Linked DNA regions of Tamandua tetradactyla. Each later gene encodes a partner of the first gene's protein in a complex. Links are inferred from orthologs where the notes say so. Each region holds a gene or a part of one and is shown on either strand. Other genes may lie near its edges.

Evidence for each region. Proteins that work in one complex are often made in the same cells at the same time.
Region 2: the proteins of IRGQ (region 1) and GABARAPL2 are in contact, whole or in part, in a crystal structure (PDB 8Q6Q), measured with the Homo sapiens proteins. The link is inferred for Tamandua tetradactyla from reciprocal best matches to the Homo sapiens genes IRGQ and GABARAPL2. Residues at the interface, in NP_001007562.1 of Homo sapiens: Asp7, Thr9, Leu11, Pro47, Leu49, Phe57, Pro70, Trp71, Glu74, Pro181, Ala182, Gln183, Asp184, Gly185, Phe186, Glu187, Val188, Leu189; in NP_009216.1 of Homo sapiens: Ser10, Glu12, His13, Cys15, Val16, Glu17, Ala19, Lys20, Ile21, Ala23, Lys24, Tyr25, Arg28, Pro30, Lys46, Lys48, Tyr49, Leu50, Val51, Pro52, Phe60, Ile63, Arg67, Phe104.

Annotation. Positions count from the first base shown.
Region 1 is NC_135342.1:21,195,058-21,202,959, reverse strand, and holds the start of IRGQ (immunity-related GTPase family Q protein), read right to left. Parts: upstream 3,672-7,902; 5' UTR 3,167-3,671; coding exon 3,049-3,166; intron 2,859-3,048; coding exon 2,327-2,858; intron 1-2,326. Other genes in the region: ZNF576 (zinc finger protein 576), read left to right, coding at 3,944-3,968, 4,199-4,300, 5,894-6,378. UniProt on the Homo sapiens protein: Autophagy receptor that specifically promotes clearance of misfolded MHC class I molecules by targeting them to the lysosome for degradation.
Region 2 is NC_135342.1:70,248,765-70,256,668, reverse strand, and holds the start of GABARAPL2 (gamma-aminobutyric acid receptor-associated protein-like 2), read right to left. Parts: upstream 3,653-7,904; 5' UTR 3,516-3,652; coding exon 3,482-3,515; intron 3,152-3,481; coding exon 3,096-3,151; intron 1,963-3,095; coding exon 1,790-1,962; intron 1-1,789. UniProt on the Homo sapiens protein: Ubiquitin-like modifier involved in intra-Golgi traffic. Modulates intra-Golgi transport through coupling between NSF activity and SNAREs activation. It first stimulates the ATPase activity of NSF which in turn stimulates the association with GOSR1.

The DNA.
Region 1 (7,902 bases):
GAAGATTTTCTCAATCCCCTGATGCTGAGTCTGAGCTCATTCCAGGATTTCTGTCCCACGTTGCCAGGAAGGTCTACACCCCTGGGAGTCATGTACCACGCAGACGGGGAGGGTGGTGAGTTTGCTTGTTGTGTTGGCTGGAGAGAGGGGGCACATCTGAGCAACAAAAGAAGTTCTCCTGGGGGTGACTCTTAGGCCTAATTTTAAGTAGGCTTGACCTATCCTTTGTGGGGTTAAGTTTCATATGAACAAATCCCAAAATTGGAGGCTCAGCCTATTGCTTTGCTGTCCCCACTGCCTGTGAGAATATCAAGAATTCTCCACTTGGGGAAGTTGAATTTTCCCCCTTTCTCACCATTCCCTGAAGGGGACTTTGCAAATACTTTTTTATTCACTGTTCAAATCACTCTAGGATTTATTGGAGCATCACTCTGGACAAACCAACAAAATCTCATGCCCTACTCAAGGTTCCATGTACTTATGGTGTTCAATTAAGCTGTCTACGTAAGTTATATTAGGAAATGCACTAGTCAAAATATAAATTTTGTACCAAATAAACATTTTTTGCTTTAGTCTCACACATAAGGTAAAATTTTAAAATATTGATTACCATCTATTTCCAGCACCCGGAAGTAATGACATTCCTTTGTTCTTCCTCATGCAAAAACATTTTTTAAATTTAGTACATGGAATCTTGAACAGGGTGTGAGATCTTGTTGGTTTGTTCAGATAAGTCTGATGCCCCAGTATATCCCAGAGGAATTTAGACAGCAAGTAAAGAAGTATTTGCAAAGTCCCCTTGGGGGACTGGGGAGAAAGGAGGAAATATACAACTTCCCCATCTGGGGAATTCCTGATATTTTCTTAAACAGTAGGGACAACAAAATCAATAGGCTGAGTCATTGATCTTGGGGTTTGCCCCTATGAAACTTATTCCTGCAAAGAATAGGCTAAGCCTACTTCTAATTATGTCTAAGAGTAATCCCTACAGAACCTCTTTTCTTGCTCAGATGTGACCTCTTGCTCTAAGCCAACTTGGCAGGTGAACTCACTGCCCTCCATGTTATGTCAGACATGACTTCCAGGGGTGTGAATCTCCCTGGCAACGTGGGACAGAACTCCCGAGATGAGCCGGGATGCAGCATCATGGGATTGAGAAAGCCTTCTTGACCAAAAGGGGGAAGAGAGAAATGAGACAAAATAAAGTTTCAGTGGCTGAGAGATTCCAAACACAGTCAAGAGGTTATCCTGGAAGTTATTCTTAGACATTATACAGATATCCCTTTCTAGTTTATGTTGTATTGGAGTGGCTGGAGTGAAGTACCTGAAACAACTTTTGAGTTGTGTTCCAGTAGCCTTGATACTTGAAGACAATTGTATAATGATATAGCTTGTACAACTGACTGTGTTATTGTGGAAATCTTGTATCTGATGCTCCTTTTATCAAGGGTATGGACAGATGAGTAAAAAAATATGGATAAAAAATAAAAGGGGGGCATACAGGGTAAAATAAATTGGGTAGATTGAAATACTAGTGGCCAATGAAAGGGAGGGGTAAGGATATGGGATGTATGAATTTTTTCTTTTTCTGGAGTGATGCAAATGTTCTAAAATGATCATGGTGATGAATACACAATTATACAATGATACTGTGAGCCACTGAGTGCATACCATGTATGGACTGTACATGTGTGAAGATTTGTCAATAAAAACATTGAGAAAAAAAACTATCGGGTATATGGAATTTGGAGGCAGGGCTTATATGAGGCAAAGCTCACAGGGCGTGGGCTTGGAGCAAAAAAGAGAATTGGGATTGTACTTGGGCCTGTACTGCAGCACTATTTGACATGGAAAAGGTCCCAAAGAGTGCTCTGTCCTGAGGCCGGGAAAGAGGACAACCAGTGAGGGGAGAAGCTTCATCTACTAGTTCCTACCTGGGACGTGTGGCTAAGGCAACATTGGGTGGGTGAGAATAAGGAAAAAAGTTAAGCATTAGATCTGGACAAGAAGCTACCTCTCTGAGAGTTCTGATTGTCTATAAAATGAGGTGTATGGGGCTTGGGGAAAAAATTCAGCAGCAGGTAGCCAGCAAGTGGGCACAGGCCAGGACCAGGAGCTGACCCTTAGTTGGGGGTGGAGCGCAGATGACAGAAAAGGGCCAAGCACAAAGCCCTGGCCTGGAGTGGGGCCTTGCTGACCTCAAAACCTGTGTTGAAGGATGGGACTTACAGCTTGCCCAAAATTCACTGGAGCTGAGTCCTCGCAGACTTCAACAAGCACTTTAAGGGCCCTTTTCCCCACCCCCACCCTTAGTTCTCGCACTCACCTCTGCAGAGCTTCCGCTTGGCTCTCCAGCACCGCCCGCAGGCGCTCCAGCTCTTCGCAGCGGTCACCGCTGCCGCAGCGGGTTGGCACCACGAAGAGAGTCGCGGCTCCCAATCCTGCGCTGTCCAGCAAGGCCTCTGTCTCATCCCGGGCCCGGGACTCATTCTGTGAATCCCCGGGCTGGAGGGTCCGCACAGCCAGCAGCGGAGTCCCCCGGGCCAAGGCATCACGCGCCGCCTCTCCCAGCGCTGGCGCCAAGATCTCCCTGTTCCCCTCGGGTCCGGGCAGCACCAGTACCAGCACGTTGGCCTCTGCAGCCCACGCTCCCGGCGCTGCGGGTGGGCAGCTCAGCTCGCCCAGGAAGAGGCCTGGGCCGGCAGCCCGAAGGATGGGGACCCCAGTCTCCGGCCTTTCCTCGGTGGTTTCGAGTGTCTCCACATCCTTGTCGCACAGCGCTGTGATCAGCGCAGACTTTCCGGAGCCCGGGGGCCCCAGAAACAAAGCAGTAACGTCACCCCGTGATGAAGGCATGGCTGGAAAGCAAGATGGGAAAGACCCCGATCAGGGAATTTCCCCAGCCCTTTTCTTTCCTAGTCTCCCCACTCCGTACCCAGAATCAGTCCTCCGCCCCGACCCCTCCTCCCATTCCTCAATGTCATTCCCCAGGATCCAGAAACCCAGGCGCCAGGCCGAACTCCCCAGGTACGCAGGCATCCTGCTTACCATCTTTCCGGACGCAAGCGTTTGCTTCAAAAATTCGAGAAACGCGGGCTCGAGTCCCCTTCTCCCTCGGCGATATTGAGTATTTTACTTCCCCACCCCCACCCCCCACCACCACCATTTCCCGGAGCACTTCCAAATCACTAACCGAGCTGTCGACACACGGGCGAGCGCAGTTCGTGGTGGCCGGGTCAGGCCCTAAGAAGCCCGGCTCCTGTGCTCCGGGAGACGGAGGACGGAGAGACCAGAGCGCTCGGATTTGGGGACGTCGGGACCCGATCCAGGGGTTTTGATATCAGTCCCTGGAGGAAGAGGCGTGACTCGAAAGCTTGGATTGGAACATCTGGGCGGGGAACAATGAAGGTGCCAAAGCGCCTGCGTACCGCGAGCGCCTAACCATCCGTACGCAAAAAGCTTAAGTTTGTACGGCAATGGCGTCTTGCGACGTCATCATAACGCTCCCCCTGCCGGAGAAGGACCCCTCCCGCATTCGGAGCCCTGCGTTGGCGCGGCTACGCCGCTGCCCGGTGGTAATCTGGGATTTCGGCTTCCAGGGGCTCACGGGGCGGAAAGGCGCGGCAACTGTGGTGAACGACTGGTAGGCGCAGCCAAAGGCAGCCTTGTGCTGTAGGGAGAAAGTCAGAGGGCTCCGGAAGTCGGGAGCAGGGAACCGTGGGCAGTGCTTGGGACACAGGGACACGGAGCGGGTGAAGGCGTGCGTGGAAGGTAGAAGTAGTCACAGGATGCCAGAGGAGGAGGTCTCCCGGGAAGAGGCGGGCTAAAGGGTGGGACCAGAGTTCACGTACCAGACCTACGACAGGTGGGAGAGACGGGGATCGGAGGGACTTGCTGGTGTCAGAAATCAAGGGTCCCACGCTCTGAATTCAGAGTTAGAACCATGCAGGATGTCATAGGTCACACAGGTGAGAAGGCTATAGGGGAGTCACGAACTTGGGGAGTGGAATCCTTTGGGAAGTTTTCATCAGGTTAGAGTTCAAGGAGATGGCATGTCATGGGGGTCAAAGGTTGGCATGGAGAGTCTCTGTTGCGGTCAGAGGTCACAGGATTAGCGGGCCCTCTGACTGAGGCTGATGACAGATGAGCTGCCTCACTTGATTTACTATTCTGTCATTCATACTCCTCTATCGACTAGAGGAGTCTCAAGTCTCCATGGAGGACCTGCACCCACAAAAGACCATGGAGCAACAGGACTCGTCAAAAGAGAGGAGTTCCCGCAGCCCGGGAGGTGACATCTGTGAGTACTTCTAGCCAGAGAGGGTGGGGAACAGGAACTGATGCTAAAAGGATCTCTACAGCATTTCAGTGTTCAAGGCTGTGTGGGATGTGGTCCCTCCCTGAACTGCCTAACAGGAACTGCCTCTCCCCACCCTCACTACCCTCAGGTACACCCACCCTGCTCCTGCCACAGAAACAGGAATGGGATGTGGTTCAGAGGCAGACGTTAACATCCAGGACAGGCATGGGGTGGGAGATATAGATGGGAAAGGGCAGATTGAGAGAGAAGGCCTGAGGTTCTGGCCACAACTCTGTCCTGGACTTGCTGTGTGATTGGGCCTCCATTACCCTAGCTGTCAAAAGGAGCTGCCGTTACCCATCTCACAGAGCTGTTGGGGGGAATTTGCTGCAGAAAAAGAGAAAGTTGGATGTTAACAACGATAGCCGTTTGACTTAATAGCAAGCACTTCTACTGAATACTTATGTGCCAGACAGCACTCTGAGTTTAACACTATCTCATTAAGTCCTCCAAACAAACCTAATGAAATTGGTATTATCACTTTACAGATGAGAGAACTGAGGCAGAGAGAGATTAAGGATTAATAAGCATGAGAGCAGTAATGTCAGTGCCCTCCAGCCCAAGACCACCCACCAGGAACACACCTGTAGTTGAATACCGCAAGGGAGAACACACACCAGGGGGAGCTGTGGGTGGTCTCAGAGGGTATAAAAAAGGACTTACTATAGGATTAGGGTTTGTGTTAGGCAGGTTTGGGGAGGGTTCAAGGAAGCAGAGTTTTGTTGTGGATTGGATGCTGTCAGAAAGCAGGGGCCATTCTCTGATTAGACATCTTAATACATCTTATCTGGGAAGAAGGAACAAAGTGAGGCTGAAGCTGTGATTGTTAAAGCAGCAGCAGTCACTCCCATTAGCCGGGATAGGGGGATCTTGGGTCATTTTTGTGATTTGGACAAGATTCATGTTTTTGTTGTGTTCAGACATGACTTTAGCATGGTCTCGTTTTTTGTCTTGATTCTTCAAGGTCTCTGCATGGTCTTGTCTGATGTTCATGTTCTGTTGAAATTGTATATGTTCAACAGAACACTGAGACTTAGCTATGGGTTCCAGACCAGCTCTGGGATGTCAGGCTGCTTTTCTCAGTAGTAATAACTGCAGACCGCTGTATAGCACATATATATTTTCCAGGTACTTGAAAGAAAATAACCCATTTATCCCTCCCAACAACCCTATGAGGTGATACTGTTATTACCTCTTTTTCCAGAGGGGGGAACCAATGTCTAGGAAGTGATGGAGCCAGGATTCAATCCCAGGTAGACTGGCTGTGGAGATTGGCCTCTACCACCACACTGCTGCTGCCCATCACTCCCTGGGTTCCATCCTGGCTCTACTGGATGTTGCTTCACTTTTTGAGCCTCAGTCTGCTCATCTATAAAACAGGTTTAATAATAGTTCCCTCATAACTCTGTCCAGCACAGGCATAGAGCCTGGCCTAGAGTGAGTACTTGGTGCTATTGTTGGCCTGATTTCGGGGATCAGGAGAGGTCCTGGAGCCTCCTGCTGGCTTCTCCTGACATTTTCCCCATCCTTCAGGCCATCCAGGGGCCCTGCAGTGTACGCACTGCCTCATCACCTTCATCGATTCCAAGTTCCAGGAGCGACACATGAAGCGGGAGCACCCAGCGGACTTTGTGGCCCAGAAGCTGCAGGGGGCCCTTTTCATCTGCTTCATCTGCTCCCGCTCCTTCCCCTCCTCCAAGGCCCTGATCGTCCATCAGCGCAACCATGGTCCCGCCACCAGGTCCTCCCCACCGACTGCACCCACGACTCCCCAGCCCCCCTTCCCCTGTCCTGACTGTGGCAAGACTTTTGGGTGGGCCTCTTCTCTGAGGCGGCATCGCCAGGCCCACGAGGCCCGCACAGCTTCTGGCCCCTTTGCCTGCACCGAGTGTGGTCAGGACTTTGTCTGGGAAGCCAGGCTGCACCACCACTACATCCAGCACGCCCGAGGGGAGCTCTGGGGGCCTTGGAGAGATTTGCTTCCCTCCCCAGGAAGGCAAAGGGCTTCTGATAAATAGGACCCGAAAGATATTCATTTGGGGCTTCAGTCTTTGGAGAATATGGAGACCTTTAGGGAAAGAGTGAAATCAGCCTAACAGTGAGATCTTTTGTTTTCAATCAAAAATGTTATTTGTATTCCCCTCATTCCAATTAAATAGCTTTAAATCCCAGCTTGCTGCAGATTATATAATAACCTTTCATGCTTCCCAGATGTGTGCCATGGGCTTTTGGAGCAAAGGGCACTGCATTTGTGCTTTAATGGGCTACAGGGAAGATGAGGTGTGGCTGACTTGCAAGACTGCAGTGTTTCTAATGCAGAGCAACTTGGGCCTTTGGGGCTGGGGCAGCAGAGCAGGAAGCTGGACTCTGAGTCACACGGGGGCTGCAAGCTGAGTCTCTGGCTCTTCCTTCTCAAGGAGGGGCCACCCCATTGGATGGCATCAATCCCTCTCATAATTTATGTACCATTTGAATAATTTTGCATACTATTCTAGGCATGGAATATTTTTATATGTGTAGGTGAGGTGGCATAAAATGAATAAACTAACAGAATAGTATCTAAAAACAGAAAAGTTCTAAATTAAAACATCTAAACAGGGAGCTTTGGCTTTTGAGCAGGAATCCCAGAGAACATAAGGAGGGAGGTGGGAGCTCAGGGCAGGGCTGGCCTGGCCCTGTGGGAAACTGGTTTAGAATCAAAGATACCTTCTGTTTCGTGTTTTATTTGGTCAATGTTGCAAATACTTGGAGATATCCTTTTAAGCTCCTGTTTTTGAGCTCTCCTGAAAGGCCCAACTCTAGACTTATAGCAGGGGCAGGGCAGAAGCTACCAGACAGGTGAGGAGCTCCACCTGGCCAGTTTTATTCCCTTGTATTACCTGCCCTGCCCCTGGAAACAGGGTTGATGCCCTGCATACAGTCATCATAGGCTCTATTGAATTGACAGATGTTTCTGTTCAATTCAGATGGATGGTGGAGGCTGAGAGCTCCAGTTTTTAGCTAGGCAGATGGCAGCTTAAAAAAACCCGACACTTCTCACATTCCCTTGGAGCTAGATATGGCCATGTGATTGAAATCTGGCCAGTGGGACACAGAGTGTGGTATGTATAATTTCTGGGAAGTGTCCTCAAGCTTTGGGAAGTGGACATGGTGGTGAGCCATCTTGGATCATGAGGACAGCAAGACAGCAGGAGCCTAGGTCTCTAGATGACTTCATGGAACAGAGCTGCCACACCAGCCCTAGTACAAACTATTTTCATGCTATGTGAGAAATAAACCTTTATCTTGTTTTAGCCACCATTGTGTGGGGACTCTGTCACATGCAGCAGAATTTACAGATTAAGCAAGGGGTCTGCAAACTACAGCTAAATTCTGCTACTGCATGGTCTTGCAAATATTTCCAGTTTTATTGGAACATGTCATGCTCAGTTACTTATGTAGTGTCCAGAGCTACATACAAGAGCAGAGCTGAGCAGGTGCAACAGAGACCAACTTTAAAGTCCACAAAGCCTAAAATAGTTTCTACCTGGCCTTTTACCAAA
Region 2 (7,904 bases), about 49 Mb from region 1:
CTGGCTAGTGACTGAGGGAAGACCCAGAAGGCATAGTCTCTTCATGAGGTCTCTGAAACTGAATTGGGGAAGCAGGGTCAGAACTGGGGTTCTGGTTACTTTTTCCTAAAATCCTGACTTGGATCACTAATGTAGTCTGCTTTAGGGTGGGATTCTCACTGGCTTAAAAGGCAAATAAGACTTGGAGAGAAAATGGCCAGGAAGCAGCCTCTACCATCCCAAAAGAATCACTTCATTTCCAATTCTATTTATATCTCAGGGATAATGAGGGAGGGGCAGCCATTTTAACTACTAGGATAATATGGAGCCTTCAGAGTAATCTCTAGAAGCCTACTTCATTTACCTCAGGAAGTATCAGAGGATGAGAATTGAGAAAAATAAACTTGATGCTACAGGTCCTGGTCACCTACTTCTTCTAAAAAGCCATCTCCAAGAACAAGGAAATAGGGTTGTCAAGAACCTACTGAAATTCCAGGTGGTACAAAAGAAAATTTATCTCCCCACCACCTTAAGGGAAGCCAAGAGCAACTACAGATGGCCAGGGCTTCCTCCCTGGGTAAGAGTACACCAGCACCACACTGCCCAGAGGCCTGTGGAAAAGGCAGGGAGGCTGGAAGAGCCCATTGGGGTGACTAAATCACCTCTGGCAACACTGCAGCTTCTAAGTTACAGCTGAAGAAGACAAATGGTACCTCGTGGGCAGGACACTGGCATTAGAGAAGAGATTTCTATTTCTTCCCTGCCCTGCCTCTCTGCCAAACACGAGGAAATGAAGACATGGAGATTGAGAAAGAGGAAATCAGACTTAAGAATAAACAGGTCTGGTATTTGCCTTAGCCCTCTTCTGGAGCTTTCAAGGATTTTTAAAGGGAGCATATTTTGGCCACAGTGGGCTAGTTACCAGCTTTAGTTAGATATACTACTTTTAGAGTAACAAATAACACCTGAGTTAGTTGTGGATTACCAAAATACAGCCAGGAACTCGCACTCAGGGGCGAGAAGCACACAATCAGTAACAGTAAAGGACAGTCCAGAGGTTTAGACTGAACCAGTCCATTTTCCTTTCCACAGGGAACTAAAGCTAAGCTGTCAACCTCACAGAAGAGGAAAAATTGTAACGCCCTGCCTAGATTTAGGTCCCAAGTTATAACCTCAAAGATTGCTTTCAGGTAGCAAGACAGAGCACAGGAGCTCCTCTGACAGTCAAAGCAGGTGGCACCAAGACAGGGTTAATCTGTAGAGACTTCAGGGCCCTTGACTGGACAGTAGCCATTTTAATGGACTTGAGTGAGGATCAGGGACCTATAGATTCTCATAGTGGGAAGAGCTAACTGCATTTAGACAGCAAGTAGCAGGATGAATAGCTGAGGCTGAGTCTCAGTCTCAGCAGGGCCCACAAGCTCCTGGTGGAGTGACAGGTCTAATTTCACAGATCATTTAGAGAAAACTTTATTTGAGGCATCAGTTCCAGCTATGGCTTAAAACTGAGTCCTCAACTGTTTTAAAAGATTCTTGGGGTTCTAAGGCAGGGTTTCTTTCGTCTTCTTTTTTTTTAAATTCAGGCCCTGAATTAAAAAACAGGGACTGAATTCTCTTTTGTTAACTTAAAGTATGCTCCCATGTCTTGCTGCCCTTCCTCATTTTCATGGAGGGCTCCTGATGCTAGGAAGCACAAAATCCAGATATTCACTCAAGACCCTTAAGAGTATTCACACTTTCAAAGTTCTGAGTTTGTAAGACGCCAAACAGTGGTCATTACCAGAGGGCCCTTCTACTGACCATCTCTCACCTGGACTGTGGGACTGTCTTATCCACAAACAGGAAGATCGCCTTTTCAGAAGGAAGCTGAATCCTTTTTCTGATGATCCACATAAATTGAGCCACAGTGATGTCAGATGGAACCAGGTACTTCCGTTTGTCAATGTCAACAATTTGAGAGCCTGAGACTTTTTCCACAATCACCTGAGAAAGTAAAGAGAAGTTAGGACTGGATTTCTAAAGTGAGGCTCTGGCCTCACATTGTCAGGGAAGCTAATAAATACAGTAAGAGCTAGGAGGTGGGTGGGAAATTGAGTAGCATGAGAAAATAAGCCCCATCTTAATAAACCACACACTCTGGAGATTGAGAAATGACATAAACGTGTTACAATGGTAAGTGCTTTTCTGTGGTCACGTACTGTATTTCTCATCCCTGATCTCAGCCTGTATAAGAGAAACACAGCTCTTACTACTAAGCTTTTCAACATTCTATTTGAGCAGAAAGGAGAATATCTGGTGAGGATTTTATCTAAAGCCTGTTACCCCAGGATCCCAGACAGGATCTGCTTCACACTACAGGAGAATTAATATCCCAAGGAGCCCTGGAAACAAAGAGGGATGGACTAATAAGAATGACTAGCTACCCCAGCCAGCCAAGAACCACGCTCTTCGTTTGGCCTGTTGCTTCTGTCTGAATGAGGTCTGAATGTCCTTCCTGCTCTCTCTCCAAAAGAATTGTTCACAGGCAAAGAACTACAATAAAAGGCCTGATTCCCTGGGAAAACCAATATTTCCCCACCCTGGAAGAAATACAGGATCATACTTATTGTCTATTAAAGGGAAACCAGAGGACAAGGGATTCTTTTGTGGCTTTCAGGTTTTTTTTGGTCAAAGAAAGCAGGGTCTGAGTGAGGAAAGGAAGCTGGAGGTTATGTAAAAATGGAGGTTTGAAGTTAAAAAGGAATGTTCTGAGACTGAAGTACCACTTCTAAGACCAAAGTGACAGTCCTCCTCCACCATTATTCCCCCAAGTGGCAATGACCTATTGCCCTGTCCCAGAACAACGTTCCTTATATAATTGGCGAGGGAGCCCAGAGGCTGCAGACAGCTCTCTGGCCTAGATCAGGAGATTCAGCACCGAGAAACCTTGAACAGCAGAAACCCGAGCCCCTCACGCCCTGCCCCTGACCGCCCTAACACAGTCCAGCCTTTCTGCTACTACAACCGGGACTGGAACCTCAACTTGTCAACTGCTGAATGGCCTAGTATCCTAATCACAGACCCTAGACGGCAGGGGTGACGGCGAGGTGAGGGGGCGGGGGAGGCCGAACACTCACCGGAACCCGGTCGGGATATTTCGCTCGGATCTTCGCGGATTCCACGCATCTGTGTTCTGTAGGGGAAACACACGGAGCTGACAGACACGCCGGCCGGTATCGAGTCCCCAACCTTCCTACCCCGCGACCTGCGCACGTCCCGGGCCCTCGTTCGAGCGTCCCCGCGGTCGCTGTCCTTTATCCCCTGACTCTTGGTCGGGACGAATGAGGGCGTGACGGGGCCGGCGTCGGCCATCCAGGGACCGGGGCCTCGGCGTCCCAAGCCCAGGGCACAGCATCAGCCCCGCCAGGCCCGACCCAGGACAGCCCGAGTGGGGGAGGGGGCCCACCCGCCACCCCCACCCCCACCCCCACCCCCACGGCCCGGCAGGCGGCCAAGCGCTTACCCAGCGAGTGGTCCTCCTTGAACATCCACTTCATGGCGGCGGCGGCGAAGGGACAGAGCCGGCTCTCCGAGCCGCGGAACTCAGCGCACCGACCACAACAACAACGACGGCAGCGGCGGCGGCGACTACACGGCAGGCGGGACTTCCGGCTGCCCGAGCTTGGCAACGGGCAGGAGGCGGGGCTTCCGGCGCCACTTGCCGGGGCACCATGCCAGGGGGCGGGGCCACACGAAGGGGAGGGGCCTGGAGGACCCCGCGAGGGGCTCCGCGGGGCGCCGGGACGGTTACCTGGCTACCTGCTGCGTAGGTGTGTCTGTGAGGGATGCTGGTGACTCCGGGAGAGGATGCTCCGGGAAACGGTGACAGGAGCAGGGTCTGGGTGGACGTTAGTTATGGGAAGGGGAGTTTGGAGTATGGCTAATAGGACAGGGCAATTACAGAGGGCTTTTGATGGGGAGGTCTGATTAGGGTGTTAGTTGACAGGAGGGGATGTTTGGAAGTATAAAAGACATTGGGTTTCTGGGGTTGACGATGGAAGGGGGTCTGTTTGGGTATTGACATTGTTTGGAGGGGGGGGCAGGTGTGGCTCGGTATGACAGTGTGTGACTAGTTTGAGAAGCCTGGGGTGGGGAGTGGTGTACTAGAGACAACCTGGAAGACACTCATAATAGGTTGCCTTCGATGTAGAAATCGAATTTGAACAACTTTCATTTCCTTCCTTTATTCATACATAAATATTTGATGAACATTTAAGAAAGGGCATCAAAATACACATTTGAGGAATGTAACTTTATTGATCACTAAGAGAGACCCCTTAACCTTACCTAGTGACTGTCAGTCTCGAAGAATTACCGTGACAGCTGGTCAGGAGTCGGGCTTCCTTGTTTGGCAGATGGAGGATTGCAAATCACAGCCTGGGCTGTGTGTGTGTGTGTGTCACTTGCCCCAGCACATGCCTTGACGCCTTCCAATCCATGATGTAATCCCCTTCTTCCAAGCAGAGTCATCAGGGCAGTCCAGTCTGGGTCATCATCTATTTATGAGCTGGTGAATGTTTAATAAGAATATTCACTTAATTGGGCACATGACCCTTACCCCGTGCTTGTGATTCTGATGCATCTGAATGGCCTGTATTTGAATATTATCATTCATCATTTCCTACAATTAAAATTCTCCATGGATGCTGTTGAATCTAGCTTCATTTTAAAATTATTTTTGTTATTTTAAGACTGCATGTCTGAGCAGCCAAAATAGGTGAGTGTTTGTTTGTTGATAATAACGTGAAAAATTCTTTTAATTTCATACATAGAAATCAGGTGTTTTTGTATACGGGAGCACTGTTCTAGGTGCTGGGGAAACAGCAGTGAGCAAAACACATAGCATCCCTGTTCTCATAGAGTTTACTAAAATTCTAGTGGAACAAGACAATAAATAAATATGTCATATAAATAGAGGTGCTGTTTAGAAAAGTAAAGCAGGGTAAGGACCTAAAGAGTGATAGTGGGATAAAATGCTTTATGGATCGAGTGGTGGCATATTATGGGAACAGGAAGGAGCTGGTGTGTCTGGAACTGAGGGAACAAAGAGGACAGTGGTAGAAGAGGAGGTCAAAGAGGTTTTGAGCCTCATATACCATGGACAGAACTTTGAATTTTATTCAGAATGAGGTGGGAAGTTAGTGGAGGACTTGAGCAAAGGACTTTCCTTTTTAAATGATCAGACTTGCTTGTGTGTAGACAGTAGATTATGGTGGGGGGTGGGGGTGAAGGTGGAAGTAAGGGGACAAGTTAAGAAGCTGTTGTGATAATCCACATGAAAGATGATGTTGATTTAGACCAGGATGGTATCTATGGTGGTGGTGGGAAGTAATTATATACTGGATATATTTTGAAGGTTAGAGCTTACAAAATTGGCCGATACATTTAAGTAAAATGAAATGACCACCCACTTTGGGCATTGCCAGGAGAAGACCCCTTCCCAAAAAGCTTTTCTAGAAGACAAAAACAATTCTGAGAAAATGGAATACACCCTACAGGATTGCTTTGGTCCAGTAGAGAAAGCTTATCAGAATGGACAAGCATACCATACTATCAATTTATATCTGCTCCCCACTTTGTAAGACTCCTCTATGTAAAATGGAAACTAATAGCAGCCAAGCAGAACATTTCCTTGCTTGCTTCTGCTTTCACCCTGTCTGAGCTTCTCTTTTTCACCCCTTTAATGGCGCTTCCTTCTACTTTCTGAATGGAATCCTGCCCAGTTTAAGAATTACTTAATAATGCTTTAAGATCCTAAATTGTATGAAACGTATTGCTTTTATCAGATTGGATATGGGTGTGTATTAGAAGTCAAAGTCGAGGTTGTTGGAAGAATTGAATTGCCATTTGCTGAAATAGGGTGGAGCCAGTGTTGTTGAAGTGGGGTCAAGAGTTTGGTTTTGGATATATTAAGCAAAAGATGCCCAAGAAACAGATCCAAAAGACATCCAAATGAAGATGTGAAATTGGTAAATAGATCTATTAGTCTCAGATTCAGGGGAGAAGTATTTAAAGCTATGGAACTAGGTGAGAGCTAGAGGGTGAGTGAAAATAAAGGGAAAAATATCTATTTTAAGGATAGAATTAACCCCCAAGGAGTGAAGATGGTTGTTCACCTTCTCATAATGTGTGAATCAGCAGAGGAGTTAGAAATTGGACCCAGACTCTTGCTTCCCTTTACAGAGTTGGTAATTATGTTCTGGTCCCAGGCATGTATCTATCACCTTGCACATGAGAACTCAGTATATTTCTCAGGGAAAGGAGTTATCCACCATTCACCAACTCATGGTCCTGCCTCCTGATGGTTTCATTGATGTGCAGTGTCTTTCTGTCCTCTCTCCCTACCTACTTTTTTTTTTATGTCTTTTCCCATAATAAATACTTGTGTAAAGTTCATGCACCTCACAGAAGCTGAAACACTCAATGCACCTACATTCTTAGCAGTCAGCTGCTTCTATTTCAGCAGTAACTAAATTGAAACTAGCTACAGTATGTTTCCTTCAGCAGTCCTTCAAAGCCTCTTTCCTCCAAAGAGGACTGTAACCAAGAAACCAGGATTTAAGTGATGACTTTGATTACTGAATCATTATATAAATATTCCTTTTTCCTTTATGGCATATTGGACAGAGGGAAATACCTGAAATCTCTGAACTGTCCTGATCCCTGGTAATGATTGTATAGCCCTTATCTTCTCTGTGATTGTAAAAACCCTGTGACTGATCTTCATTTTACCAAGTTATCCAGTTTTTCAACTTTAGAGTCTTGTAATAACTAAAGACAGCCCCTAATATTTATTAATGAAGTATCTTGGGTCTGGACCAGAACTAACCCACCCCAAATCTAAAGTTATCTTGATAAAAGAGACTGGATCTAACAAAAGCGGGTCTGCCTGACATGTGCAGTAGCTTAGACTTTAACCTGTGAGACACCTATACCTCTCCATCATTTTCTTACACACGTTCTGTAACTAAGCATGTAATCGATCTGCACAAGCTCAATAATTAGATCACCTCTAATTACATCATCTGGGGCCATTGTGCTCATTATTCTAAACCGTGCCCATCTTTTCTCTAATAAAACTATCAGAATTACTGCAGTTCAGGGAAACAGATTTGGGACAGCTAAGCCATCTATTCTTGTACTACATGCCTCATAATAAACGCTATCTCTCTTTGAAACCCTGGTGTCTCAGGAATTGGTTATTGAGCGCGTCGGGCAAAAGAATCCACGGCCTTTGTCCAGTAACAGGGCCACACTCAGGAGGCACTATCTGGCATCTGTTCTAGAAAAATCTTATTTTAATAGCTACTTGAGTAAATGAAAATCATCCACTTAAAATGTACACAGTATAATTTTTAAGAATCAAACCATAGACTTGAGCACAAAAATTGCTGAAGTTAAAAGCAATGTTGCCACCCCAGAAAAGCTTTAAAAGCAAGAATGAGAGTACTGGACTATGTCAAAGTCATATTTTATGGTTGAGGACAATGTCATCTTGGACCCTTGTAAGGACCCTGAGGATAGTTCTCCAGAATGGGCAGCTCTTGATCTCTGTATGTTTGAATCGCAGCTGTTCATCTAGTAGCTACTTCTAGGTTGCCTTCAAATTAGGGGCACCAGCTACCGGACTCCACTCAGCACAAATTTCACATTATCTCTCTCTCTTTCTTTTTTAAATATTTTTACTGACAAAACAACATACAAACAAACATTCTTAACATATGAACATTCCATATATGGTATACAATCAGTGGCTCACAATATCAGCACATACTTGTATATTCATCACCATGATCATTTCTTAGAACATTTTCATCGCTCCAGAAAAAGAAATGAAAAGAAAAAAGAAAAACTCATACATACCATACCCCTTACCCCTCCCTCTC